2 linked regions of the Schizosaccharomyces pombe genome follow. The protein of the gene in region 1 purifies or fractionates together with the protein of each later gene. This does not show direct contact. Each region holds a gene or a part of one and is shown in the gene's direction. Other genes may lie near its edges.

What was found.
Region 2: the proteins of uaf2 (region 1) and bpb1 purify together in Schizosaccharomyces pombe (affinity purification with western blotting; one study listed by BioGRID). This does not show direct contact.

What each region holds. Positions count from the first base shown.
Region 1 is NC_003424.3:5,323,600-5,327,080, forward strand, and holds uaf2 (U2 auxiliary factor small subunit Uaf2), read left to right. Parts: upstream 1-1,994; 5' UTR 1,995-2,011; coding exon 2,012-2,662; 3' UTR 2,663-2,836; downstream 2,837-3,481. Other genes in the region: ski7 (ski complex-interacting GTPase), read left to right, coding at 1-684, 725-809, 847-1,207; SPOM_SPAP8A3.07C (phospho-2-dehydro-3-deoxyheptonate aldolase), read right to left, coding at 3,121-3,481.
Region 2 is NC_003421.2:555,736-560,540, reverse strand, and holds bpb1 (zinc finger-splicing factor Bpb1), read left to right. Parts: upstream 1-2,292; 5' UTR 2,293-2,335; coding exon 2,336-2,366; exon of another isoform or gene 2,367-2,412; coding exon 2,413-4,145; 3' UTR 4,146-4,300; downstream 4,301-4,805. Other genes in the region: SPOM_SPCC1672.01 (histidinol-phosphatase), read right to left, coding at 1-25, 200-326, 443-474; XP-G family protein ast1, read right to left, coding at 4,341-4,805. UniProt on the Schizosaccharomyces pombe protein: Necessary for the splicing of pre-mRNA. The BPB1(SF1)-u2af59-u2af23 complex has a role in the recognition of the branch site (5'-UACUAAC-3'), the pyrimidine tract and the 3'-splice site at the 3'-end of introns.

The sequences.
Region 1 (3,481 bases):
CCAAAAAAGAAAGTTTGAGCTCAGTGCTAAAGTCCACCAAAACGAAATGGTATGATTTTGAAACATTTTCCAACAGTTACTCCTCAACTATTATTGATTTTCCTTTAGGAATCTTCACTACTAATGCAAGTTCTCGAGATAATTTTCTAAAACATTCAAGTTTGTTTCAAGTAATGAACACAGCCATTTTCACCATTGATTGTCTGAATCCTTTGGAAGGTCTTGATGGAATATCTTCCATTTTACAATTGATGAATGGCTTATCTATTTCAAGCTATATGTTTGCTATCACTAAGATGGATGAAATTGAGTGGGATGAAAATAAATTCATTAATCTTGTTAACTCGATTCAGAGCTTTCTGAAAGAAAGTTGCGGAATAATTGAGAAATCAAAATTCATTCCGATAAGCGGACTAAAAGGAACCAATCTTACATCCATTAGTCAAGAAAAATTATCCCAGTGGTATAAATCTGATACATTGCTTGGCAAAATTGATAAAGAAGCAGATACAAATCATGGCACATGGAATTTTCTTCTTAATCTACCTCTCTCTTTAACAATTTCACACATTACTCCTTTGCCAGAAAATCAATCACATATTTACTGTAGCATCCATTCAGGCATGCTTCAGGATTCGCAAAAGCTTTATGTAGGCACAGGGAGATTAGAAACACAAATCACAGGTACGGAAGGTGTTCAATTATTTTATGTTAATCAAAAAAGGACTGAGCAGTGATGAAAATCCCAAAGGGTTTAATGTTGCTGGGGATATGATTCAAGCCAAAATCCCTACATTACCCAATTTATGGTAAGTTCTTTGCAATTCTTGTATTTCTAATAAATAGTCCTGGGATTTTAATTGCTGATAGTATCGATGCCTTTACTTCTTCGAAAACTGCTTACGTTAATGCAACTTGGTTTCACGGTTCTCTTGAAAAAGGAAAGTCGATGCATGTAATAGCCCTATTCGGCTGTCACGCAGTCCTTACCAAACTGTATTGCTTTACAGACAGTCAAGAAAAAGCTCCTAACGCAATCGGAAACGATCTTGAAAGAAATCGAACCTCACTTGTGAAAATTGAATTAGAGAATGCTTTCCCTCTCGTAAAAGAAAGCTACATTAACACCTTAAGCCGCGTTTTATTCGTTTCAGAAAAATGGAATAGCTTAATTGCGTTTGGAACAGTACTATCTCTGCATGACTGAATCCCTAACTTACGTATTATACTCAACTCCATATTAATTTTGCATTCGAAAAAATTTTCCGTCCTTTTTAAAGAAATTCTCTATAGATTGTTTTAAATATTGTAAAACTACCGATGTTGTTCATTTGCGTACATCTCAGGCATCGTGACATTTGGAAACAATTTGTTCTCGAGTAAATTTCCTGAGCAAAAAAAAGGAATGTGCTGTGTTAAGAATAATTTATCTTTTTTTCTTTTGAATCGTTGGCACATCAGTCTAATAACAGTAACTACTTATTCTTGATATTTTCCAAATTCGAATATAATTAGGGAAATACAAGGGAATATCTGTATATCGGATAGTTGTAAGCTACGCAGTTTGGTATCTGATTTAAGGATACGTAGAACTGTGGTGAGTTTTCCTTGTGATCTATTATATTACAATACACAGGTTATATAAGTAGCAACTGAGTATAGGTATTGTATTAACTGGGTTATAATGTTACCTATCACTAATATAGCTCATAACTGAACTGAGGAACGAGGTTCAGCAGTAGCTCTATTTATAGTATTCAGATAATATAGATCTTAATAGATTATCATTAAGATCAATCTCCATATCGTATCATACATGGTACGATATATAATTAGAACATGTGACATATAGTGATACGCAACGTAGTGTATCATAGCGTAGTGTAGTACTGCTGACAATAGTGTGCAAGAATAATTTAGAAAATTTGCGTAACTTAACGAGATGTTGCACGCCACCATTATAAGACTAGAATCATGTTGGATCACTTTATTTCATAACCACCATATAAAAATGGCAAGTCATTTGGCAAGTATTTATGGTACTGAGCAAGATAAAGTCAATTGCTCATTCTATTATAAAATAGGAGCTTGTAGACATGGGGAACGCTGCTCTCGTAAACATGTCAAACCAAATTTTAGTCAAACGATCTTATGTCCCAACATGTATAAAAACCCAATTCATGAACCAAATGGCAAAAAGTTCACGCAGCGTGAACTTGCAGAACAATTTGATGCATTCTACGAGGACATGTTTTGTGAGTTTTCAAAATACGGTGAAGTTGAACAATTAGTCGTCTGTGACAATGTTGGAGATCACTTAGTCGGAAATGTTTATGTAAGATTCAAGTATGAAGAGTCTGCCCAAAATGCTATTGATGATTTAAATTCCCGATGGTATTCCCAAAGACCAGTCTACGCCGAGTTATCTCCTGTAACTGATTTTCGCGAGGCATGTTGCCGGCAACACGAAACTTCGGAATGTCAGCGGGGTGGCCTTTGTAATTTTATGCATGCCAAAAAACCAAGTCCTCAGCTTTTACGCGATTTGGTACTAGCACAAAGAAAGTATTTGGCCTTAAATGCAGCAGAAGAAATGAAAAAGGAGCCCAATAGTGATTCCACGAATCGATGGGTCAGTGTAACTGCTGAACGCAAAAATTAAATAGCAACTTATGGAATGTATTTGTTTTGGATTCTGGTTTGCTTTTGTACGGTTTTACTTCGTTTATTATGATTAATCTCTGGCTATAGTTTGTTGTGATTTAGGTTATTTAAATAGATGTTGCATTCTTTTATTGTTTACTAATAAACTTGATCTTTGTACAACTGTACTCATAGACGTTTTAAATTTTGTGTCCAATGTGCCTATGGCTGATTACAAGCTAAAGGAGATCGATTAGAAACATATGAAACGATCAAACATTTCGCAAAACTTGCACAGCAATTCTTAAAAACGAAGGTGTTATTGGTAGAAGCTGTGTACGATATAAGAAAAAAAAAACAAAAAAAAATAAATAGAACCCGTATTTAAGCCAAAATTGTTCAGTTGTTGTATGTTACGAAAAAATAAGTTTCAAAAATTAAAAAAATTAAAACTGCTGAATATAACATTTATATGTCTTAATTACTTTTTTGGTTTTGACGGCGAGCACGGACAGCTTCAGCAAGATCGTCTAGCATTGGAGCAGTTTGTTCCCAGCTAACACAAGCATCAGTGATACTGACACCGTACTTGAGAGTATCCTTAACGCCAGGACGGATTGGAGCATCTTGACGACCTTCATTGATATGAGATTCAATCATAACACCAACAATGGAAGAGTCGCCATTTCTGATTTGTTCGGCGATGCTCTTGGAGACCTTTGGTTGGTTCAAATGATTCTTGCTTGAGTTGCCATGAGAGCAATCGATCATGATACGAGGAGGAAGGTTGGCCTTCTCAAGATCTTTGCGAACGGCGGCAACGTGCTCAGCATCATAG
Region 2 (4,805 bases), on another chromosome or scaffold:
AGAGATCTTCTGGTTGTAGATGTAGCTAAATGAATCATAGTTAGCAGTCCATCGTAAAAGCATTTTAATACAAGAGTAATATCATATAACAAAGCTCAAATGTAACATGAAACTTAGTCCCGACAATTCATTTCCAAAACTTGAAATGACCTATAAAATAATAATAATGTTTCACACATCATCCTGCAAGCACACTTACTTCTTCGGGATATAAGTCTTCAACTCGATCTCTAGGGGTATGTTCTGTAAATGAAAACGATTGAAAACCTTGTTGTATGGCTTCCTGAATTACATCTTCTAGTTTGCCCTGGGCATGCAAACAAAATCTTCAATAAAAGTTAGTGGTTTGTCACTGAATAAAAGAAAAAAAAAATTCATCTGTAAAATCTCAGGCAAACACATCAACATGTATCGCTTGTTTACAAATTAAAAGCAAACATACTGCCCACTATGAGAATGACTAGAAATTGGCATTATTATGATAATATGTAGCGTATTTGCAAAATTGAACCGAAAAAAAAGAATGAATATCGATGAAGCTGAACTGTGTTAAAATTGGAAATCCAAAACAGAATTGAGAAAATTCGACAATGCACCAAAGACTATCCAAAATATTTATCTAAATTGATTCCCAACAAATACAATCCAAGCTATCTATAAAACGACAAAAGTAAATATTTTCGCAGTCGACCGAAAAAATGGAATGATAACTATAAATTTCAGATAATTAGTTTAAATTAACCCAACCAAAACTTAAAGATGCATTAGCGTCTTACCAAACGAAAAATCCAGAATTATATCAACTAACGGCTCAATACCAAAATGCGAATGAATGTGGGAAATGGATGAAACAGACGGAACGAGCCGTAAAAAAATTGGGAATCAAATTTTTATAAGAGATCTAACGAGTTACTGGAATGCCTTTCTAACGAGCCGGTTGTTTCGATCACTCAGCGTACCGGACATCTTTTGGAATCAATTTTTGTTAACGACTTTTTTCAGCATATGGTGAAGTGCGGTATTCCCCAAATTCGAACTTTCACACTAGGTTCTGTGGTTTGATAAAATGCAAGCAGCTTGATTCATTTACGAAAAAATTACGATCCTGACTCTGCTTCTTTCACACAGTAAAACGGGTCATATTGGAGTTGTATGAACATTTGGCAAAAACGTTTCTTAATGAAAATCAGATCCTTTCCAATGTTCCTAAGATGTTATGGTATCATGCATTTTTGAGTTTGATAGTAAAGAATTAAATTAATAGAATTTAAACAAAGCACTAAACACACTGAATCCTTATTTTTCTTCATGAGTAAATTTTTCTCTAGGCAAATTATCTGATCAGATAAGGAAGGCTTGCATGCCGAGTGGTGGAATGTCGCTTGGAATATGAAAAAAAGATTGTATGCCCGCAGCCTGTTTTACAAAAATGTTTCTCATTATCAACTAAAACATAAGTACTATTTATCATTCCAAAACCAATTTCTTTTAATTTCGATTCTGGTTTCTCAATGTAAACCTTGCTGGATTTCGCTATAATTCCAACCCAAGCTCAACAAAATGGTCATGGGCAATAAGAGTTTGCACTTCCATCTAATTATGAACCAAATTCAGAAAAATATCAAAAATTTTTCTACTGACTTATTCTTGAGCATTACTCACCCTCTAAAAACCTCCTATCTATTGTTCGATACAAAATAAGGATATGCCTGTATACTGGTATTACAATATAATATTACAATATTCTCTTTTACAATTCCTATTCGCTTAACTTTGATGCTTGAATTATTATTTAGCGAACTCTAAAGTATGTTTTAATCGCAAAAAAAAAGAAGAATCAACGCTTTACCCTACCAAACAGAGGTGGAACTCTCCATCATTGTCTGATTATTTTTTAAGAAAGATGAATGTTTCCATATCATATCTAAGCCGTAATCCGCCAGTCTCGTTTCTGTAAATCCAAATTGCAATGATGCTTAAAGCTGTTTATAATAAAGTACGTTAGATTTATTTAGCGCAATGAATAGAGATACACTAAACCGATTTAAGATCAATAACTGAATATCGAAACAAGTGCAAGAACTGCTTGCTGTATTGTTAGAAAAAAAAAATTTCGGTTGAACTTATCATTGACTGAATAGTCTCATTTGAAAATTTATTCAAGTAATTATACATTTAATTCTTTTTTAGCGAGACGGTTATTGCACTCGTTTGTCTCAAACGTGTCGTATCTTCAGTTTCGTCCGTTACTTTATTGCCTCCTTGCCTCCTACATTTCAGTCGTTACTTTTCACCAAGAACCAACGCCCGTCTTCGATCTAGCAGTCTTATTAAAATGCTGAATTCAAGGTCAGTAGGGTCTACTGGTAAGTGTTTTAAGAGATTATTAGTGCAAATTATTAATATTTTTAGGTTCGAATAATACTCCCTTAGGAAGGAGGCGGTTTGACGAAAAACCAGATTCTTTACCACCATTGCCTGATGCAAATGGAATGAGTAATGGTTATCGCGATTCTTATAAAAGCAATTCCAGAATGGATCATAGACCGGATGGCTATCACGATGGTCGAGGTCGTCGAGCTTATAGAAAACATTATTGGGGTCATCCAACCCCGATTGAGGAAATGTTACCAAGCCAAATGGAGCTGGAAACTGCCGTTAAATCCTGTATGACTATGGAGCAATTAGAATTATACTCTTTGAATGTTCGATTGGAAGAAATTACGCAAAAGCTTAGAACCGGTGATGTTGTTCCTCATCACCGTGAACGGTCCCCTTCTCCTCCTCCGCAATACGATAACCATGGTCGCCGATTGAATACTCGAGAAATCCGTTACAAGAAAAAGCTAGAGGATGAGCGTCACCGGATTATTGAGCGCGCAATGAAAATGGTGCCAGGCTTTCGTGCTCCCAGTGATTATAGAAGACCTGCAAAAACACAAGAGAAGGTTTACGTTCCCGTTAAGGATTATCCAGAGATTAATTTCATCGGCCTCCTGATCGGTCCTCGTGGCCACACTTTGAAGGATATGGAAGCAAAATCTGGAGCCAAAATTGCTATTCGTGGTAAAGGAAGTGTTAAAGAAGGAAAAGGAAGAAGCGATCCATCTGTCCGAGGTAATATGGAAGAAGATTTACACTGCCTTGTTACCGCAGACTCTGAAGATAAAATTAACCATGCCATAAAACTAATTGATAATGTTATCCAAACGGCCGCTTCTGTTCCAGAAGGCCAAAACGACTTAAAAAGAAATCAACTTCGTCAGCTTGCTACTCTTAATGGTACTTTACGAGACGATGAAAATCAGGTTTGCCAAAATTGCGGTAACGTGGGTCATCGTCGTTTCGATTGTCCTGAACGTATCAATCACACAATGAACATTGTTTGTAGGCATTGCGGAAGTATTGGCCATATTGCTCGCGACTGTCCTGTTAGAGATCAACAACCTCCAATGGCTGATTCTACTGCTGATCGGGAATATCAAAGTCTTATGCAAGAGCTTGGTGGGGGATCGGCTATTTCCAATGGTAATGGTGAACCCCAAAAATCTATTGAATTTTCCGAAAGTGGAGCTGCTAGTCCTCAAGCAGGTCACCCTCCACCTTGGGCTGCTGCGTCTACTTCGGTATCTAGCAGCACTTCTAGTCCTGCTCCTTGGGCCAAACCAGCTTCATCAGCCGCCCCTTCAAATCCAGCCCCTTGGCAGCAACCTGCTGCTCCACAATCTGCCCCTGCCCTTTCTATGAATCCAAGTTCACTACCTCCTTGGCAGCAGCCAACTCAACAGTCCGCTGTACAGCCTTCTAATTTAGTACCTTCACAAAATGCGCCATTCATCCCTGGTACTTCTGCTCCCCTTCCACCTACTACATTCGCTCCTCCTGGTGTGCCTCTGCCACCAATTCCTGGGGCGCCTGGTATGCCGAACCTGAATATGTCTCAACCACCCATGGTTCCACCTGGAATGGCTTTGCCTCCTGGCATGCCCGCACCATTTCCTGGATATCCCGCTGTTCCTGCTATGCCTGGTATACCTGGTGCAACAGCTCCCCCTGGTGCACCAGGCTCATACAATACGTCGGAGTCCTCTAATTTAAATGCCCCACCCGGTGTTTCAATGCCAAACGGATATTCCAATCGATAGAATATATGTATTTGTTAATAGTTTGTCGCATATTATAATGAGGTTGAAAAAAAAGGTTTATGCAAGCCAATTGCTTCTTTTAATTTTTACGGTTTAAAAGTATTCGATATATGTTTTGAATTTAATTCATTAATTTTATAACGTGTTTCCCAAAAAATTTTGTTTGATTGTAATTCATGTGACAAAAATGTATATCTATGATTGATCTTTTTTAGTCTTGCGTTTCCTTTTTGGTTTCCAAATATCCATTATCATGTAAATATCAGAGTAATCGTTCGTGAGGTCTTTGTACATTTTATAGGTTAATGAGGCAGTAGTTTTATCTGTAACAATGCTTAGTGGGCTTTTACCTGTCTTCAGCTTACTTGCTGCTTGGTGAAATAAAGCAAAGTTTAAAGTGCTTGATAGAGGGCTGAATGAAACAAATTCCTGAAAACTAATAGAAGACTGTTCCTTGTCTTCACTGAATATCAACATACATATCGAATATATTGTCGCTATAAAACGAGAAACGCTGGCAATGTCCTCTTGCGTAGGTTCCACCGGCTGCAAGTTCATAGGACTACCTAAGAATAGACTTACATGCATTAAGAGGAAACTGGTAGCTGTAATATTGTTTAAATTTTTCATACACCGTAAAGTCCATAGTACTAGCCTGTG